3 linked regions of the Stegostoma tigrinum genome follow. The protein of the gene in region 3 binds, or shares a complex with, the protein of the main gene of each other region. Links are inferred from orthologs where the notes say so. Each region holds a gene or a part of one and is shown on either strand. Other genes may lie near its edges.

Region 1 (7,985 bases), on a different chromosome or scaffold from region 3:
TCCCTCCCTGCCTTCTCCACCATCTTCCAAGGTCCTGCCAACCCGTTCCCACCACCATCTCTCCCAGTTCCCTCCCTCTTCCTGCCCTCTCCAACTCACCCAATCCCTTGGTTTCATCCTGTCCTATTTCCTTCACCTTCTCTCACTCCTTTGCATGTCCAATCATTGCCAGGTCTGCCTCATCATACTCTGGTCCAATTTCCACCTTACCCCGTCCCATCTTCATGATCACACCCCATTACGTCCTTCTGCCCAACTCCCCCATCACATGCCAATGTGATCAATCCCCCTGCCGATCTCCCCAACACAAACCAGAAAGCCCTCCAGCCCATCTCCCCCATTCACACTCCACTACCACTCACCCCCATGCCCCAGTAATTCCATCACACCTCAGTTCCTGCCATCTTTCCATCATCTCTCTCTCCCCTCAGCTTACTGATTTGAATGAGGTCAGCCAGGTGGACCTGATAAAATAGTTCCCTGACTGGGGCTGTTAATGTTGTAGTTGGTTGGCTCGCCGAGCTGGCTCGTTGTTGTTCCGCAGACGTTTCATTACCCTGCTAGGTAATATCGTCGGTGCAGCCTCTAACGAAGCGCCATTGTGATTTCCCGCCTATTATCTAAACTCTGGAGTCTGTTGAGCTGGATTGCCTCACTTCTGGATTTTCTTCACAGTGGTGTGTCTATGGGGTCAAGCTCTATGTGTTTTTTGATGGCTTTCTTCATGGAGTACCAGGCTTCTAGGAATTTCCGTGTTTGTCCCTGCTTTGCTTGTCTCAGGATCTTGATGCTGTCCCAGTCAAATTGGTGGTTCTCCTTATTCATGCGGAGAGAGATAAGTGAGTATTGGTCATGTCCTTTTGTAGCCAATTGGTGTTCATGCACCCAAATTAATTTCCTTCCTGTTTGTCCGACGTAGTGTTTGTCACAGTCTCTGCAGGGAATCTTGTATATGACACTGGTCCTGTCCATTGTGGGTAATGGGTCTTTCGCTCGATTGAGCAATTGTCGTAGAGTTGATGTGGGTTTGTGTGCTACTCTGATGCCCAGTGGTCATTCAGTCTTGTGGTTAGTTCCGATGCGTAAGGTACCGTGACAAGTGTGTCGGAGAGTGTGGGACAAGCAGAGCAGAGACAAGCACGGGAATTCCTAGAAGCCTGGAACTCCACCAAGAAAGTCATCAACAGACACATAGAACTAGATCTCTTCTATACTCCATAGCGAAGGAAAACTCAGAAGTGAGGTAATCCACCTCAGTGGACCCGACAGTTTAAACAACAGGTGGGAAAACACAACTGTGCTTCATTGGATAATAAAATGTGAGGCTGGATGAACACAGCAGGCCAAGCAGCATCTCAGGAGCACAAAAGCTGACGTTTCGGGCCTAGACCCTTCATCAGAGATGCTGCTTGGCCTGCTGTGTTCATCCAGCCTCACATTTTATTATCTTGGAATCTCCAGCATCTGCAGTTCCCATTATCTCTGTGCTTCATTGGAAGCTGCATTTATAATATTACCCAGTAGGGTAATGAAATGTCTGTGGAAAAACAACAAACCAGCTCAGCAAGCCAACCAACCACAGCATCCACAACCCAACCTACAAATCTAATGTAAAACCTTGGCACTGTTAACCTGATCCAATCAAGAGCCTGGATGACAGACATATACAGGAGTGTGAGAGATGCCAGGCAGCAGAAAAGCAGGAAAGTTGATGTTTTGGGTCGGGACCTGGTCATTCTTGGAGCTGGCTTTGAGCACGCTGGGTCAGCGTACAGTGCTGTACACATACATATAAAAAGGGTGACTTGGTGACGGGATATCAGCCTTTATGGAGTTATTTCATTTATCACCTTTGCTGTCTCTCTCCTCTCCCCAAGACGACTCCCCCCACCCCCGCCACCCCATCTCCTTCCTGTCTCCCTGACCACCCCACCACCGTCTCCACGACACCCAACTCCCTCCGCATTTCCCTTACCCCCCCGCAAGAGTCTCTCTGCCCCCTCACCATCTCCATTCCTCCCCCACCGTCTCTCTGTACAACCCCCACCATACTCCCCACCCCATGTCCCCACTGTCTCTGTCGCCACCCACCCTCCCACCCCATCTCTGTCCCCCCCCATTCCCCCCCGCCGTCTGGCCGCCACTCGCCATTCCCGCTTCTCTGCCAAACCCCTCCTCGCCATTCCCCCTTCTATGTCTCTGTACCCCCAACCTCAGCAAACTCCCTCCAGTCTCTCTGTCACCCCCCTCACCATTCCCCCTTCTGCCATCTCTCTGGAACCGCCCCCCGCCTCGCCATTCACCCCCCTCAGTATGTCCCTGTCCCCCCCCTCATCATTTCTCTGTACCCCCCCCTCACCACTGCCCATCACCATCTCTCTGTACACCCCCCCCTCACTATTCCCCCCAATTGTCTCTCTCTGTCCCGCCCTACCCCTACTATCTCTCTAGCCCCCAACCACTCCCCCACACCGTGTCTCTGTGCCCCCTCACGGCTCCACCTCCTTGCCATTCCCCACCACCATCTCTGTCACGCCCTCACCATTCACCCCCCCCAACTGTGTCCACGTTCCCCTCTCACCATTTCTCTATTACCCCCTCACCACCGTCTCCCTGTACACCTCCTCACCATTCCCCCTCCATTGTCTCTCTGTCCCCACCCACCGGGACCATCTTTCTGCACCCGCCCAACAATTCCCCACCCCAACCATCTCTCTGCCCACCCCTCCACCTCCCTCACCATTCCCCCCACCACCCCCTCTCTATTCCCCCCCTCACCATCCCACCCTGTATCTCTGCCCCTGCCAACCATGCCCCTCCCATATCTCTGCCCCCCCCCCCAACCAGGTCCCCCCGGTATCTCTGCCCCCTCAACCATGTCCTTCCCCTCCCCCCCTCATATCCCAGCCCCCTGCAACCATGCCCCCCACCCCGGTACCCCTGCCCCCGGCAACCCATCCCCCGGTCTCTGGGCACCCCAATCACCCCCCCAGGCTCTGGGCACCACAATCACCCCCCCCCCCCCCCCCCCCCCGGCTCTGGGCACCATCCCCCAACCAACACCTCACCTCCCTCACCATTCCCGCGTCCTGTCCCTGTCCCTGTCCCTGTCCCTCCACCCCCTCAAGGCGAGGCCACGCTCAGCTCCGGCCGCCATTTTAAGGCATGTTAAAAGAAAACGATAGAAGTGCACAGATTGCCGCTTTCTCCTGCCTCAAACCGAGCCTCATGCACCGCGCAGTCCCCGCGCTGCAAAATTACTCACGAAAAGCAGCTGTGAAGGAAAAGCTGCAGCGGCGGCGTCGCATTAAAAATCCAGCGGTTTTTTTGGTGAAAAAAAACCCAGCTTTTCCGCTTCCCCCTGGGAGATGTAGTTCCGAGGACCGGAAGTTGTACCCCGAGCCACTTCCTGTTACTATCACCATGGCGACGGAGGAGGCAGCAGTAGCAGGAGGAGCGAAGCACCCCACGACCATGCTGCACTCCCGCTACTACAGCAGTCGGGAAGTGGCTGTCCATAACACCATGAATGATTTGTGGGTCTCCTATTTGGGAAAAGTCTATGACCTGACCCCTTTAGCCGAACAGTTTAAAGGTGAAGAGCTCAGAATCTCTACAGTGTGGAAGCAGGCTATTCGGCCCAACAAGTCCATACCGACCCTCCAAAAAGCATCCCACCCTGTCACTGTAATCCTGCAATACCTGTGGCTAATTCACCCAAATCTGTCCATCTCTGGACACTCTGGGAAATTTAGCACAGCCAATCCACCCTAACCATTGCATCTTTGGACAGTAGGAGGAATCCGGAGCACCCAGAGGGGACCCACAAAGACACAGAGAGAATGTGCAACCTCCACATAGACAGTCACCCGAGGGTGGAATCAAACCTGCATCCCTGGCACTGTGAAGCACCACCTTCATCACTCAGCCCGGCATCAACCTCCACAACGACAACTTGAGCCCTTCTTGTGGTCAAAGGAACAACTTTCAGGCGAGCAATTACTGAACCTATGTGGTTCTATGCCTAAACCACAAGGAAAGATTACAGCCGGTGACCAAAGCCCCGAGAGGATTAAGGAGGGAATGCCACAGTTTGGGGTCCAGTAGCTGAGGGCACAGCCTCCAGTTGTGGAGTACTGGGATTCGGGGGATGCACGAAAGGGTTGTATTGGTTGTTGGAGTGTAGAAATTTTGGACTCGAGGGGGTCACAGAGTTTGGGAGGGAGGTAGGGGCTGGAGGACTTTACAGAGATGGGAAGGGGTGAAGAGAGTGGCAAAGTTACAGAGAAGGCACGAAACCATAAAGGGATTTGAAAACAATGAGTGAGAATTTTAAAATCTGGACCAGCAGGCAGTTTAGGTTAGTGGGTGGTGGGGAAATGGGAGTTGGCCCCATCTGCCCTTGAAAAAGATCCTGTGGCTGCTATTTCAAAGCAGAGCTGTGAGGAGGGGAGGGACGGGACTCTCCCTAGAGACCTGTGGCAAACATTCATTCTCCAGCCAACATAGTTTAAAAAATAATTATCTGGCCATTATCACATTCCTGTCTGTGGAACGTTCTTGTGCACAAATGAGATGACGTGATTCTGGCATAACAACAACAATGTACTGTAAAATATTTTATTGATTGAAAATTACTTTGATCTGCCGGGGGGCTGTACGACCCTGTGACTCCAATGGTCATGAACGGCGCTATGTCAATACAAATCTTCTTTTAGTGATGACCTCGAAATTTTGCATCTTTCCTCCCTGTTGGCCCTGGTTTAATTGGCCATTCGGGGTTCAAAATTGATGGCATGGAAAGCACTTCATTTACATCTGTAGATACCTTTCAGAAGATATAGCTGGCAGACAGTATCTTTTGTGCTATATCCAGGCTGTGCTGATTCTGTATTCTCCCTCTTATCCAGGTGACATTCTACTGAAACCCATTTTAGAAGCAGCTGGACATGATATCAGCCACTGGTTTGATGAGAAGCGTAAAGATGTAAGTATGGAATCTCAGCTGCCAGGGGAAATGAAACTGAAGACAATGAGCATCAACCAAAGCATTTTAGCAACAATTTTAATAATTCACCATCTGACCAGGGACTACAGTACCCAGCATCGCCCTATCCATATTTAACCTGGCGTTTAGCATACTTGGGAAAGTACATTGATTCTCAAAATCCACTACTGCGTTGTTACAGAACTTAATGATTTAATCAAAGCATGCAAATTCCCTGGTTTATCTCTCTGATGGAATCAATCTAACACAAAATGTTGACCAGGTTCCTGTGCTTTAAAAAGAACTGTATAAAACATTGGTAAAGCTAGAGTACTGTGCGAAGCTCTGGAATTTGCTTTACAGAAGAAATATAATAGCACTGGAGAAGGTGAAGAGGAGATTTACCAGGTTGTTGCCTGCGCTGGAGAGTCTCAGTTATGAAGAGAGATTGGACACACTGGGACTATTCTGTTTTGAGCAGAGGAGATTGAGAGGGGACATGATTGAGGTGTATAAAATTATGAGGGGCGTAGATAAGGTAGACAGGAAGAAACTTTTCCCCTTGATGGAGGGATCAATGCCCAGGGAGGATTTAAGGTAAGGGCTTTGATGACATGTAAGGAGAAAGATTTTCACCCACAGAGTGGTGGGAATCTAGAACTCAGTGCTTCTAAAGGTGGTAGAGACAGAAACCATCATTACGTTGAAGAAGTATTTAGATGTGCACCTATTGGGTTGAACATTTTGGGTTGTTGTGAAGTTTGTGCATGGCATCTGACATTCCCAATGAACCCTCTCAGCGTATTAGCGCCTTCCCAACTGAATCTGCCCCATTTCGGTTGGTCGCACGCCAGGTGAAGAAAGGCTATGGTGGAGGGAATGTATAACCACTTTGGGGAGGCTTTGAGGACCACCCTAAAGCATTTCTGCTGCTCCGAATAGTGTAGTGATTTCCAGAGTCAGCTGCCAAAGATATAAATGGCATGTCCTACCTACGGGAGCTGGTTTGGACTAATTAATGCCTCAGTGTGCTGCTGGATTCCCAGTGTCACCACAGGTTTTGGAGACTCTTATGAAGGCCATGCTGGTGGTGCTTCTCCAGTCTTGTGAGGTGCTGGCTGTATGCTGTGCAAGTCGCCAAAGCATATGGGAGCCTGGAGATCATTGCTGCCCAATAAAATTTGACCTTAGTCTGGTTTGAAATTTTAGTCTTTGGATCCTCTTCTCCTCAGTCAGCTGAGGGCCGAGTTTTGGTGTTTTGGAGGCAATGAGGAATTTTCTCATATTCCTTCAATGCAAGGAAATTGTGATAATAACCTGTATGGAACACAACATCAGTCTCAACCAGATTTCAATTCAGGGAGCTGCACTTAAGAAGGATTTAAAGGCTTTAGTGAGAAAGGGCAAAAATGGTTCTAGGAATGAGGAATCTCTGTGACGAAGGGAGATTGGAAAAATATAGAGAAGAAAGGGCTAATAGAAGATTTAATCAAGAGGATAGAGAGAAACTTTTCTCATTGGAGGAGGTATCAATAACAAGAGGGTACAAGTTTCAAGTGGTTGGTGAAAGAAGCAATTGTGACAAGAGGAATACCTTTTCCACACAGTGAGTGGATAGGATTTGAATGTGCTGCCTGACAGTGGTAGAGACAATTTCAGGTGAGGTTTTCGAAAGAAATTTGAAACATTTTCTGAAAAGGAAAGATTTGGACATCTTAGGGTAAAGATAGGGGAGGGGGTCTAGCAGGATTGCTTGTGTAGAAGACCAGCACAGTACAATAAGCTGAATGGCCTTCTGCTGTCACTGTTCTGTAATCCTATAAGTCTCTGTGACCCGATCCTCCTGACAGAAATGAACCCCCCCCCCCCAACCACTACCACCACCCACCACTAAGCCACAGAGCTGGACTAGGAGCATTGAAGGACTCTGGGCACAGATATAACTTAGTCTTGTGTAAAATTGTCAGCTGGAGAGGAGGGGGAACAGGCCACAAAATAGCAAGCAGCACTATGTACCATAATAATGGAGCAATGAACAGGAATCTCTTCATTCCCAACGTAGATTCGCATCAAGATTGACCAGCTCGCCAATTGCCAGAAGTACCATACTCCTCGTGGACGCTTTGCTCACATTCCACCCCTCATGCCAATGAGTGATTGGTCTAATGCCTTTGGGACGCCATGGTGGAAGGATCCAAAGTATGAGGTTGGATATTTAACTGAAAAAACAAGAGATATCCGTATTATCAACACGCTAACAGGTCAAGAACAGGTGATTGAGGTATGCAGCTTCAATTAATCAGAAATTGCTGGAAAAACTCAGCAGGTCTAACAACATTAACTCTGCTTTCTCTCCACAGATGTTGCCAGACCAGCTGAGTTTTTTCAGCAATTTTGTCTTGTTTCTGATTTGCTACATATGCACTTCTTCATTTTTAAAAAATTAACTGGCGTTTGTTTTGAGTTAGGAAGGAATTTGATTGAGATGGAGGGGGGTTGTCACATGACAGGGTTTGCTTTCAGGAAAGCTGAAGTCACTAATGTGTTCTGACAATTGATCAATATTTCAAACCATCTGTTTTCAGGTGACACATAAAATGGTGCAGAGTCTTACATCCAAACATTCAGCAGTTAAACAAAACCCTCCAGAAACATGACTGATTGCAGAGTGAATGACTGAGAGACACCAATCATTGTACGTATAGCTCCCTGAGGGAGAAGCTCTCAGAGACACCGGTCTAGTGTACAGATTTATCCCTGCAAGAAAAAGATTGAGACTGCTAAGTAACTCAGCGAAGGAGGACTTGCTGACCCCAACAGTGTAAGAATACCAAATGGTAGAGGTAAACATAGTTAGAGACAAGAAAAACTGCAGATGCTGGAATCCAGGTAGACCAACAGGAGGCTAGAAGAATGCAGCAGGCCAGGCAGCATCTGGAGGAAAGGAGCAGTCAACGTTTCAGGTAGTACACTTCTTCAGGACTGGATGTGGGGGTGG
Region 2 (7,175 bases), on a different chromosome or scaffold from region 3:
ACTGTCATATTGTCATAGACGAATCACAAAAGGCAATGAACTTGTTGAACAACAAAGTCAGTGGAGGACTTTCCAAATAGCTTCATGATTCATGGCGAAGGTCTGTGACAGATCAATAAAGCTTACATAAACCTCTGAATTTGTTGCCCACAAATTTTTAGGATTTACTGAGTGCCAAAGATAGCGTTTTGAGATTACCTTTGAAGGTTGAAAACTGCCTTGAATCTCTGGAAAAATGTTACTGACATAAATCTGATGGTTCAGGATGATTCATGTGACAACTTTCAATTCAGTATATTGAAAATATGTAAACAGGTGTTTGTTGTTCACATTACAATTTCATCTGTGCTGGGGAGACCAAACATTTTTTGAGCAACTACTTTGCGAAATTCTTTACTTCAAGCAAGCATAATTGAGTTTTTAATAGCATATCATTTTAATTCTCCACTTTGCCCTCATGCTTACAGTGCTGCCTTTGGCCTACTAGTGTTCCAGCGAAACTCTGAGCAAGATGATCAGCATCTCTTTCAATCAGGCACCGTAAGCCTTCTGGGTTCAATTCTGGGGTTTGAAAATTTTCAGAGGATGATCTCTTAGAAAATACAAGGGGAATTGTTTGGGTAAGTTTCTAATATCTCCCTGATATTCTCAAGCAACTCACGGCATAACTTGAGTGTGACAGAATCCTGCAAAGAAACAGCAGCTACTGGCAGTGAGATCTGAGGTTCAACACACAGCAACACGTGAGGGCTCTCACTTAGATCAAAAATGCTGAATTCATGTGGAACTCGAAACAGATTGAAAGAATGGGCTCACTTGGCACAACAGGAAAAATGAGAAATGTAGCTCACTGCGAAAGAAAGTCTTGAGTTTAACAGTTCCCAGGCTGAGAAAGAATTAGAAGTAAACTTTCAGGAGCTAAAAAAAAAAATCACTGGACTGGTTCTGGAAGAACTGAATATATACACCTACAAAAGTGTATACTTACAAAAAGATATCTGTAAACAGTGTTTTGGGTTGTGCTAAAGAAAAACAGGGAATGCTCTGTTTTGTGGCATAGAAGATCACTTTTCTACAAAGATTTATCAACATTGTCAATAATCTTTACTTAAGTAATGGTCTTAAATATGAAAACTTATGTCATTATTTATGTTATTAACTGCAAGTTTCTATTTGCTTTTAAGAGTTATCAAACTCTCAAGAAAATCATAATGCCATGCTAAAAAGAAACAAGTATGGTTAAGTAGCGAGGTGCCACATTTTCGGCTTGCAATTTAAAAAAACTCAAAGAAAGTCTCCATGCTGTAGTCACCAATGAAGTCTAATAAGATTATAAATATTTTGCACCGAATAAAAACAAACATTCAAATCATCTCCACTGTTCACAGTGGTGTTTCAGGTAAAAGCAGAAAGGCCGAGAGGTGAAACAATTTCTACGTTATGAGTTTCATCTATAGTAGCTACAGCAATTCAAGTCATCCTAAGACGATGTGGCATTAACAACAGTGCTACTTAAATAAAGTCTGTCAGTATAGCAAATTTAAGTTTAATAATATACCACAATTTCAATGGATTTTAGAACAAGCCTTTGAACTCTCCATCTAGTCTTTCACATGAATCAGAACTGCAAAGTCAAGGTTATTTGTCACATTGAGGACTATAAATAGCATGGCAAATTCATTCTTTTGCAACGCAAGTTCTCAAAGCCTAGATGCTTACAAAAATAAAACTACTCATTAACATGACGACTATTGATAGCAACTGAAAGTGTGGGAATCAGCATGCAAAATGCCAAAGTGACCTTTCCTTGGCAACTCATTTTCAGTGCTTACAAAAAATAAGGTCTTACATTCGGGACATTTCACAGGCTTTTCTATTAAGCGCATTATTCTCGATATACATACGTATACTACATAGTCCCCTACCAACATACCACACTTACCAGAAAACAAAGCTGCGGCCAGTTGTGAATAAAATATCTATATGTATATATGGAATAAGGTTCAGACAAATCTTTCGTGATCAATCTCATTATATCTGGCATTTGCAACTCTGACTCATAGCCAACATATCGTATCCTGTCGTTCGAGTCGGGCTCTTGTTGCGGGTGCAAACTACAAGCAGCTATCGAGGCGGCCAGGCGGTATTGCTCATCGTCATCTGGGCCGATACCAATCCGGTCGAGTCCATCTCTGGGGTTGAGTGTGTCAGGGCCGGCCGCCTCGGCAGTCCTTTGGCTCGCATGATTCACATTGGGACTCTCACAATATTTGCCGTCGGCTTTCCTCCTGCCTCCTTCGGAGAGTGACAGTCCAGACTGAAACTCGACGGCAGTGGCGGCCTCAGCGCAGGATAGGCGGCCTTTGCACTCCGCCTTGTAGTGGAGCTCAGGGTTTATAACACAGCCGTTGAGCAGCCGCTGCTGCTGTTGGTGGTGGTGGTGGTGGTGGTGGTGATGATGGTGGTGAAGGTGCAGGACGCCCTTCTTGGCTCGGTTAGGCTCCGGGCAGTTTCCGACACTGTTCGCCGAATGTGGTCCGCCTTCCCCGCCGCGTTCCTGGCCAGCCCCGTCCACAGCAGTCGCTTCCTCCTCCTCCTGCTCGCCGCCCCCTCCTGGCTGCTGCCCCGGGACCTTGCCGTACGCTCCCGAGTGGTTGAGAGTAGCGGAGAGGGGCGAGATGTCACTGGGGGCTGGGGACAGCACGCTAGGCCCGGGCGGTACATCAGACATCCTAAAGAGCGGAGAAACGCAGGGTCGGCATGAGGGCCAAAAGCAGCGGGGGGAGAGAGAGAGTGATCTAACCGGGAGAACGGGGCGGGAGGGGGGGGGGGGTAACCAGGAGGGGACTCACCGCCCGCCCTCAGCACTCACACATCCTACAGCCGGCCGGACCACACCAGGCCAGGCTGCACAGGACCGGGACCTGTCAAGCAGGGCCCGACATCCACACAGTCAGGCAGGGTGGGAGCAGGGGAGGGGGAGAGAAATCAACTCGTTGCCGAAGTGAGGAAGCCGGCCACTGCCTGCTCCCTCATACAGCCAGCCACTCGAGGCCGTTTCCACTCTCAACCTAGGCACTGCCGTAAAGTGAGGCTGCCGCGCGGCCCCGCCGCCCCATCTACGTCATAAATGCGGCTTCCCGTCTCGCCCTGAAAGTTGTTTTTACGACGTTGACCTTTAACCGACGCCGATTGTGCGTCGGGAAGGAGGATTTGACGTGAGGTTTTGGCGAATGGCCCTTGTGTTCTTGGGGAGAAGATAGGAGTTTGTGTAGTTCTGAGTAAATATCATTGAGCTAAATGCAGCCGTAATCTTTCCCTCCCTGATGAGTGATTATGTTTCTGTTTCTGTTTCTAGTGTGAGTTTGGCCTCTGGAAACTGTTTAAATCATTCCCTAGCTGCAAGTGCCATTTTGTGTCCACTGAGCCTTTGCTTTCTTCATATTGCAGTTTGTGAGTTAAGCTATTGTGTCTTCTGTCAGCCTCAAATCCAAAATTAGAATTTATTTGATTTTAGTGAAACACGTGTTTTATTATTTGCGATAACAAGGTGTAGAGCTGGATGAACACAGCACTCCAAGCAGCTTCAGAGGAGCAGGAAGGCTGACGTTTCGGGTCGAGACCCTTCTTCATTCTGCTCTCTTTTAAAATGTCATCCTTAAGTGTATATTTTCACAGCTATTGTAGCTGAAGCTGGGTAACTGTCAAATATACAAGGGACTGGCCTAAAATGCTCCCGAACGAATCCTTTTCCAAACACGCTAATACAACTTGCACATCGGATTTCATCGGCAGTTCTTACTATCTCTCAGTATAAACCCCAGGTGTTTTTGTCGCATCCTCAATTGGTGTTGAAAGTATCAGCCCAATTGTGTGAAACAGTGATAGGTGCTGGATATGCGGATGCGGGCTGACCACTGTGACCTGACAAAAAGTGGTTTTGACACCGATTCACCGGAATCAAAACATTCGCTGTTGCTGAAACATGTGGGACGCAAGCTTGCAGGATTTCATTCAAAGGCGCCCTCTCTACTAAACATTCATAATAAGTGTGTTAAGTGCTTAATTAAAACACTGGAAGGATGAATTTCAGTGGATTATGCTCATATCCCACTGGGTAACATCGTTGCCTAATTAAAATCTAAAATCTATATCCAGTAAAGTTTAAATGAGTGCAGATTTAAGGATGCCATTTCACAGTGAAACACCTTTCCACAATGCACTTATTTATAGGAAACAGTAAGAAAATGTTGTGCGTATATATACACCACAGGCCAGAGATAGAGATGGTTCTGGGCCTGAGGTGTTATATTGTTTTGGCATTTGTGGAGAAAACAATGAAGTTCAAATGGGATACATTTTTTTCAGGGCTGAAAAATTTGATTTAGCAAACACACTAATTAGGAGAAGGCCATTCAACCTCTCAAGCCTGCTCTACCATTCAAATATCTTTCAAGGAGAAATAACCCTAATGGAGACTACTTGGTTACGGGCAGAGTATTGCTGTCTTTCATCTGCTTTTGTTATTCCACAATTGATTTTTCAGAGATTTCTGAAGTTTTTTTTAGATGATAAGAATACATTTAACAGGAAATGCATAATTCCCCTGTTAGCTGCAATCCTCAAGAATAAACAACACACCCTGAGGGAATAATTTGCTTTATAAAAATGTAGGTCAACAAGTATGGCATCAAATGTGTTTTGCAAAGTAAGCACAGTCTATGTGTTTATACTTTCTTAGTAACTGGTTGCAAGCTTTCTGTGGCCACTGTCTCAGGTTCAACTGTACTGTGTTTATGTTGTTTCAAATTTGCTCGAACTGAGCTGCTGACCCCATATGAAGAGAGTTAAGAATGGCTCAGCATTTCAATTCTGGTATATTGAAGCAGCTCAACTATCTAAACTTGCTTATCTTAGGCAAAAAAAATGATAATGAAAATCATGAAATTATTTAAAATGATGAATAATAATTTTTGAAGTGACATTCTTATTTTTCAGTTGTTCCATTTATTGTTACTTTGGCCCATTCTCAAACTATCCAATGATGTATTGTTTTGGTGTTCAGTAATTTCTGCTCAGTTTATTGTGCCTCAACTGCCAGAGCTCAATCCCACTCCAATGCTAACCTTGTTATTTGCCGGCGGACTAATAATTTGCTTTTCAGAAATACCTTTGGTGCCTTAGAGCCATGGGCTTCTGACCAGCTATCAGTGCTCATGTACTGCTCTGCTACCTACAATTTTGCCAGCTCTTGAACCGTCTATTTTGTGCCCTACTCCATGACGCTCTGTTTCAGGAGTTTCATCTATTAAGTAGTCCTGTTTCCCTCTTATGTCCTATTTGCTGTGTAGTTCACGCTGTCTCTCTGTTCTTCCATGAGTGCTTGTATCTGTTTTAGCCCCAATTCTGTATTCTCTATTCTTGTGCCCATTGCAGTCATTCTGTTAGTCTGCAGTGTGTTACTCTTCCTTTCAACTTTAACTCTTCTTGCAGTAAAATTTCTTCTCTTTCTCCTTATGTCCTGATGTCTCTTTGCTATTTAATATCTGTTCCTTTATCTAACTTTGCTTCTATCCATTTATATTCCTTTTGGACAGCAGCACTGTACTTGGTCACGCTACTTCTATAAACTCTTCCACTTCATGTTACTGTGAACCCAGCTGATGTTACTACTGCACAAGTCAGAACCAAGACTGAAATTTGGCTTGAAAGATCATATTTTGGTTTAACCAAGATGTTCTGTCATGGAAGCACAAGCATGCAACCCTGCACGTTTGGTTTTAACAATAAAATAGGAGTATTTATGCAAAGAAATGAAGATAGTATAAATCAGTCTCTCACTGAAGAGAAATCCCTTCTATGGCACATCCGTAGGGCTTAAGAAAATTGTGGATTCAATTCCCTGTCCTCAGAATCTGATAGCTTTTTAGTTGACTCTTCATAAAACTTAGCTTAGACTTTCTGATAACCTCTTCAGGATTTTAAATTAATGTTTCTGGTCTGAAACCTAAAAGATAAACTCTTCACATTCAGATAGTTTAGAACTATTAAGAAATAAGCTATTTTTCTTTATCAGGAGAAACGGCCTTATACGTCCAACTTCAGCCAAAACTTCTCCAAACCTTGAATTGAAACTAAAAAGCTTTTCCAAGGAAAGAACATCCAGTTTCTAGAATCTTCTAACTGAAGTTTAATGCACTGCACAATTTATTCTGTGCTCGTATAATTCTCCCAATGGAACCAAGTCCCCACTAGCTTCCAAGTGCTCTGTCTCTAATACTGATCATTGTGGCTGCAGAAATATTTAAATGTTAATCATTATAGGTCTTCACACACACAAATCTTACTCAAAATTTAGATTAATTGGTATAAGGGTAGATCAAATGAAGAAAATGGGATCTGTACCATTAGGGATCTACAACTGAACTGTACAGGAACTGTTGTATTTGGGAAGTTATGAATTGAGGAAAAAGGGAAGGCAACAAAGGAAGGAATTGATGTGGGAAATGATAAACAAACAATGACAGGAAAGGACAGAGTGCAGATCCAAGAGCAGATTGTCGGCTAAGACTGAAGATAATAACAGGACAAGACTTAAAACACTGTATTTCAATGCATGTATCATTCACAATAAAACAGATGAACTAGTACAAACTGAGACGTGTACAATCCAGCAGTCATAATTGAGATGTGGCTGCAGGATGACCTGGAGTGGGACCTCAATATTGAAGGCTGTATGACATTTAGGAAGGTCAGGAAGTTAGGAAATAACTTGAAAAAGATGATATTAACACAAAAGAGAGGGATGACTTAAGCTCAGGAAATTAGTATATAGAAGCAATCCGGATAGAGATGAAGTGATAATGGGAACGGCAGATGCTGGAAAATCCAAGATAATGAAGTGTGAAGCGGGATGAACACAGCAGGCCAAGCAGCATCTCAGGAGCACAAAAGCTGACGTTTCGGGCCTAGAACCTTCGTCAGAGAGGGGGATGAGGTGAGGGTTCTGGAATAAATAGGGAGAGAGGGGGAGGCGGACCGAAGATGGAGAGAAAAGAAGATAGGTGGAGAGGAGAGTATAGGTGGGGAGGTGGGGAGGGGATAGGTCAGTCCAGGGAAGACGGACAGGTCAAGGAGGTGGGATGAGGTTAGGTAGGAAATGGAGGTGCGACTTG
Region 3 (7,298 bases):
GTGCCATGTTAGTGATGCTCACATTCCCAAGATCTCCAAAATAAACAAAGATTTTGGGAGCTAAAAAGGACAGAAGCAGAAATTTGGAAAAGGTTCCGTAGTTGGGGAAAAAAAAACAGAATATATTTACTCTACGTTTATGGATTCTTGGAGACTGTCAGTAAACATATGAATTAAGAACAGATGTAGTCCATTCAGCCCCTCAAGCCTGCACTGTCATTCAACAGGGTTGTGGCTTGGAGACTCTCAGTAAACATATGAATTAAGAGCAGATGTAGTCCATTCAGCCCCTCAAGCTTGCACTGTCATTCAACAGGGTTGTGGCTGGTCTGATCACAACCTCAAAATTTGCATTCCCACCCACTTCTGATATTCTTTCACCCTTTTTCTTAACAAGAATCTATCTACCTCTGCCATAAAAATATTCAAGGACCCATGCTTCCACTAGCTTCATAAGCAACAAGAAAATTGCACAAAATATCTATAAATTTACCTTTACAGCAATCCTTGAATTGCTTGGTAATGTCAACCCAGTTTGCATTAATTTTTTCCATCTTTTCTGAGATACCAAGTCCCCAGCCAATATCGTCTTCGTCCAAAGATGCTTTAGTGACCATGATAACTGTGGACATCAAACCATACAAGATAAATTGGGTTAGATTCTTCAGCAGAGGAGATTTTTCTGTTTCCTGTTGACTGGAAGCCTTTACACAAATCGAAGATTTGTCTTCACTACAGGGCTCAGTAATAACAAAGATTTTCAACCTTTTCCTGAGACCTCCAAGGACAGTATCAACTATCACGGAGAAAGCACTGTTGTTTTATTAATTACAGCAATAGATAGGCAGATACAGAATTGATAAGCTGGGAAGACATGGCTGATTGGGTCTGTGTTGGAAGGACGCAGTTTCTCAATATTACTGTCTCTAATCATTATGCTAGGGGGAAGGAGAGGTCTTCATTCAACACACCTGAAATCAAACTTGCCCAATCCTCCACCATCACAATGGGAAGAATGAAAATTTCTCCCGAGTAGTTCCATCTGCCTCAAAACAGATTAATGGGGAATGGCCACATTTTGCAACTCTTTGGCCTCTTACTTCTTTCCTCCCATGTCTATGTATCAGATTTCATGAAAATTCTACAGGCACACATTGCTTCTGGATGAAGATGGCTTCTCACTTTCTCCCCATTATAGAACTTGTGAAAGTTTTCGCTTATCATTATTGATGACCCTCTTTTCTCCTTTGCCCAATGGAGTATGCTACAAACCAAATTAAAATGTTCTTTTCCCCAGATTCTGTTACCACTTCCCTGTTCCAGCGTCTTAGACCATAACAATACTATCAGGATCAGCAGTGGCATCTCTTCTCACCATTCAGCAATTGATATTCTCTTCAAAAAACAAGCCGGCTGATAAGAGTCAATTATCCCATTCTTAAGCAATATAATTCAACAGATATTAAACACTTCACACTTGGAAACATTTCACCAGTTACAAATTGCCATTCTAAAAGTGATTTGCTTTTACTAATCTCTGTCTGTTAACCAATCTATGTTGATGCATTATCCATTAACTCATGTGTTCTAATCATGAGTAACTACCTATTACGGTGATACCTTATCGAATTTGGTCTGAAAATTCATTTATAACAACATCCATGGAGGGGCTCATTTGGTGCAGTGGTATTAGCCCCTACCTTCGGTGCAGAAGACTCACCTACAAGGGCTTGTGGTGTTCGAGGCCTGGATAGAGATTGGGTGATTGGCAGAAGCAGAGAATGGAGATAAAGAGGTCTTTTTCAGGATGGTAGCAAGCGTCTAGTGGAGCTCCACAGGGATCAGTGTTGGAACCATAAGTAATCATGTTATACATTCCAATTATTTGGAAGGAGGAACTGATGGCATTGTTGCTCAGTTTTCAGATGATACAAAAATAGGTGGGGGTACAAGTAGTGTTACGGAGGCAGGGAGACTACAAAAGGACTTGGACAGGCTAAGTGAGTGCACAACAAAGTGGCAGATGGAATGGAATATGGGAAAGAGAGTTTATGCACTTTTGTAGGAAGAATAGAGGTGTGGTCTATTTTCTAAGTAGGGAACGGCTTCAGTAAAAGATCAGGATTCTCAAAATTAACATGCAGGTTCAGTTGGCGGTTAGGAAGGTCAATGAAATATTAGCTTTCATTTCAAGAGGACTAGAATACAACAGCAAGATGTACCACTCAGGCTCTGGTCTGACTGCATTTGGAATATTGTAAGCAGTTCTGAGTCCTGTATCAAAGGTTGGATATGCTGGATCCCCTCCCACATCAGAGGATGTTTATAAGAACGATCCTGGGGGTGAAGGGCTTGTCATTATGAGGAGCAGTTTATGACTCTGGGTCTCTACTGAATGGAATTTAGACGAATGAGGCGGAATCTCATTGAAAAACTTATAGGCTACTGACAAACCTGGAAAGAGGGGCCATGACGAAGACGTTTCGACTATTGAAGAGAACGGGAGCCAAGGGCACAGCCTCTGAGTGAAGAAATGATTGTTTGAACTGAGGATGGTGAAATTTCTAGCCAGAAAATAGTGAATCTGTGGACCTCCTTGTCGCAGAAGGCTGTGGAGGCTGTTTTTGACTGCGTTTAGGCAGAAATAGATAGGTTTTTGATTGGTTAAGGGATCAAAGGTTATAGGGGGAAGGCTGGAAAATGGGGTTGAAAAACATGTCAACCATAGTAGAATGGCGAAGACGACTCCTTAGGCGGAACGGCCCAATCTTGCTCCTATATTTTATGGTTTTCTTTAAATCACGTTCATGCAACTATTAATCCATTGCAGAGGCCATACGTGTAAAGTCGAAGGTGGATGAAAATTGTCACCAGTTGCTCAAATTTCCATACATGATTTTTCGAGGAGGTACGCGGAATGAAGCATATCTAACTGAATGACTACTTCTCCCTACAGAAGATTGCACCGTTTCATCCTCTCTCCTTACCTTGAGAGTGAAGCTACCTTCAGCACATCACCGTGACCTGGGTAGCCGAAACCATACTTCAAGTTCGTCATTCGGCTGCCGCTGCGCTTCGCATTTTGGGAACTGTAGTCCTGACCTGGGCAGGAATAACGTCCACGCCATGTCTGGAAAATTTCCCTGGAACTACAAATCCCATCGGCGCCACAAATAGCGAATTATCGCGAGGACCAGCTCGAGTCTGCGGAATGTGAATTTGACCATTTCCTGCAACGGAATTCTCCCCGGCAGCCGTGGTTGTGGTGGTGGGGGTGGGGGTGGGGGGACCGGAAGAGCCGGGGAGGTAAATGGTTAATGGTGTTAATTGCTATCATAGCCTTTACTTGGACGTTCTGGAGTCTGTCAGGAGATTACTCATCCATCGAGATCAGTATGAGAGAAAGAGACTGTATGTGTAAAGTGCCTTTGACAGCCTGAGGGATTCCCTGCCAATGAAAGTAAGTGTGGTCACAACAACAAGCCGCGTCGCTGTCTGAGCTGATCAGTATTTCAATGGGTTAGGATATTGGGATTGCTCACCGTTCTCCTTGTGCAATGGATCTGGACTCTTATTTGATTCAGCTGAAAGTTTCACGAACGATGGTTTCCATCTGCTGCATATTGATGCTGGCAACTCGGCAGAAAATATTTTTTTTGTAGGCACTGTGCGATTGCCCTGTGATTGTCTGCCACTTTGCGCTTTTGTTCTTATATTAAATTCTAAATTCTCATGGGCGCTCATACGAGACCCAGCGCATATTCGCAGTTAAGGAATACCCACCTTGTGGGAAGTGACGAAAGTAAAGTGCTGATGAAGACCTGCAGGTCTGGCAGCATCAGGTAGAACAGAATTAAGTTTGTTTTACATTGTTGTAGATAGTAAAATTGGTCAGCCTTGTTGTGCCATTATTTTACAACTATTTCAGCCATTAGAAAAGAATAGTCTTTTTTTTTGAAGAAGAGTTCAGACCCGAAACGTCAACTTTGCTGCTCCTCTGATGCTGCGTGGCCTGCTGTGTTCATACAGTTCGACACTTTGTTATCTCAGTCTTTTTTTTGTTCTTAGTTTCTTGCCTTTTGTATCCCCATTCCTATTTTTGATGGGATCAATCAGAGAATTACCCTAAATTTATTCTGTGGATAAATTGCTTTTATACTTGTGTTTTACTTTAATATTTGTGCAATCTGGGGAGGAGGGTCTCCAGAATGCTGTTTTAAATTCTGAGGACAGGATCACCAATTAGTAAGACCATAAATAAGAAGTAGGAGCAGGCCATTCGGCCCTTTGAGCCTGAGCTGCCATTCAGTAGGGTCAGAGTTGATCCAACATCCATCACCTCCACTTTTTCTACCTTATCCACATAATCCTTCGTTGCCCTACGATCAACAATCTACCTCATGCAGGCCAGTCGAATTGGATTTATGTTTATCATGCATGTGTTAGCTTGTGTCAATATTGCATATGATCAGCTGCGGGATTTAATACATACATAAGGGACCTTGAAATCTGCCTTAGGAACAATATTAACCTCTTGTGAAGATCTGTAGCCTGGGTTGTGGATGAAGTTGTTGGCTTGCTTGCCAAGCTGGCTAGTTATTATACAGATGTTTCATCACGATGCTAGGTAAAGTAATCAGTGTGGCCTCTGATAAAGTGATATTGTTCTACTCTGCTTGTTATTTATATGATCAGGACTGTGAAGTTGGGTTGTCTGATTTCTGATTCTGTTCTGCATGGGTTTTTGTATGGGGTCTAATTCCATATGTTTGTTGATTGCCTTACCAGTTGAAAACCAGGCCCCTAGGAATTCCCATGCTTGTCTGTGGTTGGCTTAAGCTAGGATGGTCACATTGCCCCAGTCATTTTGATGGCTTTCATTGTCTCAGTGTCCATCAGTTTAATTGGGATAATGTTGGAATCCCTGCAAATTATCATGATCACGCCAATTCATTTCATCTCCTCTCACTTAAATTAGAGGGAAATAACAAGATAATAAAGCAGTTTAGAAATGGGGCAATGATTACCAGAATATGCCTGGAAGGAACACAGGATACAAACTTACATGTGCATTAATACTTACAGCCACTGATTGTGAAAATGCTAAGAAGACATATTTAAAACAAACATAGATAATGCTCAAGAAACTCTCCAGGTATGGCAGCGTGTGTCAAGAGAGAAAAATACAGTTAACATTTTGAGTCTGGCATGACTCTTTTTCAGAACTGAAAGGCTTTTTTTTAAAGAAAACCATCCAACAGCTAAAGAACATGAACATGAAAATTCCTTGGGCAGATGGAATCCTTGCTGAAATTCTGAGACGCTTGGCATGACTGCATAATCTTGTGTCCTTCATTTGGGAAAAATAGCACATAACAAGTATTCTGAGAATCACTTATCACAACTGTATTCAAGAAAGGAGACAAGCCACAGTGAGCTAACTACACTTGTCACTGTCTTGCACAGGGAGTATCATTGCAAAGTTTCTTCAGTCACCTCCCCTGGTGGAGCTCCTTCCTGAGTTTTGGTGAAGTTTCTGCCCATCAAGAGTCACTGGTGTCATGGCCTTTATAAGGTGACAAGTCTGATGAAGAAAAGTGCAAGGAATTACACCGATCACTCCATATAACATTTTTTCAACCTCCTGAAGCCTTTCACTCTGAGCCTTTAAAGGCTTATTGAATATCTGTTATATTGGTGCTTCCTTTGGAATTAGGGATTATACACATGGTAAATGAGTGGTAAATCTGAATAGGAACACTTTGTTGATGATGCTCACACCTCTACAACCAGTTCAGGACTGTACTCAATATTTGTTCCTCTGGGTCACCTGACCAGCTCTCTTAAAGGTCTGGTAACCCTCACAACTACATTCATAATAATAACCTACTCAAATTTAGCTTCTTTCTGAAAGTTCCATGATATCATACAGGCTGGAATCTTCACAAACTGAAACACTACACATTCTGCCACAGTGAGAATTGGGGTGAAAAAGATTGTGACATTACACCAACACTCTACGGAATATGGCTGTTGGTAGTAATATAGTTCTGGGTGCTTTTACCCAGCTGTGATGACCGAGTGATAAAGATGTTGTATCTAAGTGCTGTATGTGGAATTTCAAAGTGAAGTTCAAACACAGCTTTCAGAGTCCATGATAGAAATGTTTATCTTTCAATGACTCTCAGACCTTTAAAGCATCACAGTATTTCTGTAGTGTGCTTTTCATGTTTACCAGATATGAAAAAAGATGCACAGGAGTAGGGCAGTGCTTTGAACCCAGTCCATGATTCAATGAGATCATGGCTAATCTTCTACCTCAACACAATTTATTTGCATAATGCTCACTAATGTCCATCAGGGAAGGAAATCTATAATCTCCCACCTGGTCTAGCCTATGTATGACTCCAAACCCATGGCACTGTGATTAATTCTCAGTTGCCCTCTGAAATGGCCTAGCAAGCCACTCAGTTGTATCAATTGCTAGACAGTCTCAACAAAGAAATGAAACCAAAAAGACCACCTGGCATTGATGTAGGTACTGGAAAAGATAATAGCCCTGTTGATCCTTCAATATCCTCCTTATTATAAGCTGGGGGTAAGTGCCAAAATTGGAAGAGCTATCTCATAGACTAGCCAAGTGACAGCCTCATGAAGTCATATTCATGGAATCATACCTTACAGACAGTGTCCCAAACGCCACCATCACTGGATATGCCTCGTCCCACCAGCAGGACAGATGTAGTGGAGGTGGTGACACAGTGGTATACAGTCAGGAGGGAATTGCCCTAAAAGTCTTCAACAATGTCGGTGAACACTAGGAAGCTTCATGCCTTCAGGTTAAACATGGGCAAGGAAACCTCCTGATTACCATGCATTGTCCTCAGTCAGCTGATGAATCACTACTCCTCCATGTTGAACAACACTTGGAGGAAGAAATAGCAAGAACTGTAGTCAGAGACAATACAGTGTAGAGTTGGGGGAATACTGCAGGTCAGGAAGCATCAGAGGAGCAGGAAAGTTGATGTTTCGGGTTGGGTCTGGAGGAAGTACTGATGGTGGCAAAGATGCAAAATGTACCCTGTTTGGAGGAGAGTGGCTTGTCAGCACTACTGATCAAGCCATTCAGGTCCTAAAGCCTTAGCTGCTAGACTGGGTTTTTGGCAGATGGTGAGGGAACCAACAAGAGGGAAAAATGTGCTTCAATTTATTCTTACCAATCTGCCAACTGCGGATGCTTCTGCCCATGACAGTATCATTAAGAGTGACCACCACACAGTCTTTGTGGAGACAAAGTC

The links.
Region 1: the proteins of naa35 (region 3) and naa38 are in contact, whole or in part, in a cryo-EM structure (PDB 7MX2), measured with the Homo sapiens proteins. The link is inferred for Stegostoma tigrinum from reciprocal best matches to the Homo sapiens genes NAA35 and NAA38. Residues at the interface, in NP_001308810.1 of Homo sapiens: Val30, Asp31, Ile32, Thr33, Phe36, Ala39, Cys40, Leu43, Leu45, Glu47, Leu48, Leu49, His50, Asp51, Phe54, Glu58, Ala59, Ala62, Ile63, Glu64, Met65, Met66, Ala72, Gly73, Met74, Gln306, Arg307, Leu309, Pro310, Pro311; in NP_001307854.1 of Homo sapiens: Ala41, Arg42, Leu45, Glu46, Leu48, Leu49, Arg61, Phe67, Leu68, Cys69, Thr70, Asp71, Arg72, Cys74, Ile77, Arg97, Val98, Leu99, Gly100, Leu101, Ala102, Met103, Val104, Pro105, His108, Ser111, Ile112, Glu113, Val114.
Region 2: the proteins of naa35 (region 3) and naa30 are in contact, whole or in part, in a cryo-EM structure (PDB 7MX2), measured with the Homo sapiens proteins. The link is inferred for Stegostoma tigrinum from reciprocal best matches to the Homo sapiens genes NAA35 and NAA30. Residues at the interface, in NP_001308810.1 of Homo sapiens: Leu45, Gly46, Leu48, Leu56, Ala59, Met60, Ala62, Glu64, Lys69, Glu121, Phe313, Pro314, Arg315, Ala444, Leu510, Glu511, Leu512, Glu517, Pro605, Lys606, Phe607, Glu608, Leu609, Asp610, Val614, Arg615, His618, Arg619; in NP_001011713.2 of Homo sapiens: Glu221, Pro238, Ser240, Tyr242, Thr243, Arg245, Tyr246, His249, Asn250, Lys304, Ile324, Glu334, Asn335, Leu336, Gly337, Val339, Arg340, Asp341, Lys342, Arg343, Phe345, Arg346, Tyr347, Tyr348, Leu349, Leu359, Trp360, Leu361, Arg362.

Annotation. Positions count from the first base shown.
Region 1 is NC_081398.1:14,296,585-14,304,569, forward strand, and holds the start of naa38 (N-alpha-acetyltransferase 38, NatC auxiliary subunit), read right to left. Parts: upstream 3,092-7,985; 5' UTR 3,078-3,091; intron 1-3,077. Other genes in the region: cytochrome b5 domain-containing protein 1, read left to right, coding at 3,166-3,595, 4,911-4,987, 7,050-7,268.
Region 2 is NC_081363.1:49,433,285-49,440,459, reverse strand, and holds the start of naa30 (N-alpha-acetyltransferase 30), read right to left. Parts: upstream 3,102-7,175; 5' UTR 2,732-3,101; coding exon 1,943-2,731; intron 1-1,942. UniProt on the Homo sapiens protein: Catalytic subunit of the N-terminal acetyltransferase C (NatC) complex. Catalyzes acetylation of the N-terminal methionine residues of peptides beginning with Met-Leu-Ala and Met-Leu-Gly.
Region 3 is NC_081356.1:58,904,689-58,911,986, forward strand, and holds the start of naa35 (N-alpha-acetyltransferase 35, NatC auxiliary subunit), read right to left. Parts: upstream 3,076-7,298; 5' UTR 2,988-3,075; intron 623-2,987; 5' UTR 618-622; coding exon 494-617; intron 1-493. UniProt on the Homo sapiens protein: Auxillary component of the N-terminal acetyltransferase C (NatC) complex which catalyzes acetylation of N-terminal methionine residues. N-terminal acetylation protects proteins from ubiquitination and degradation by the N-end rule pathway.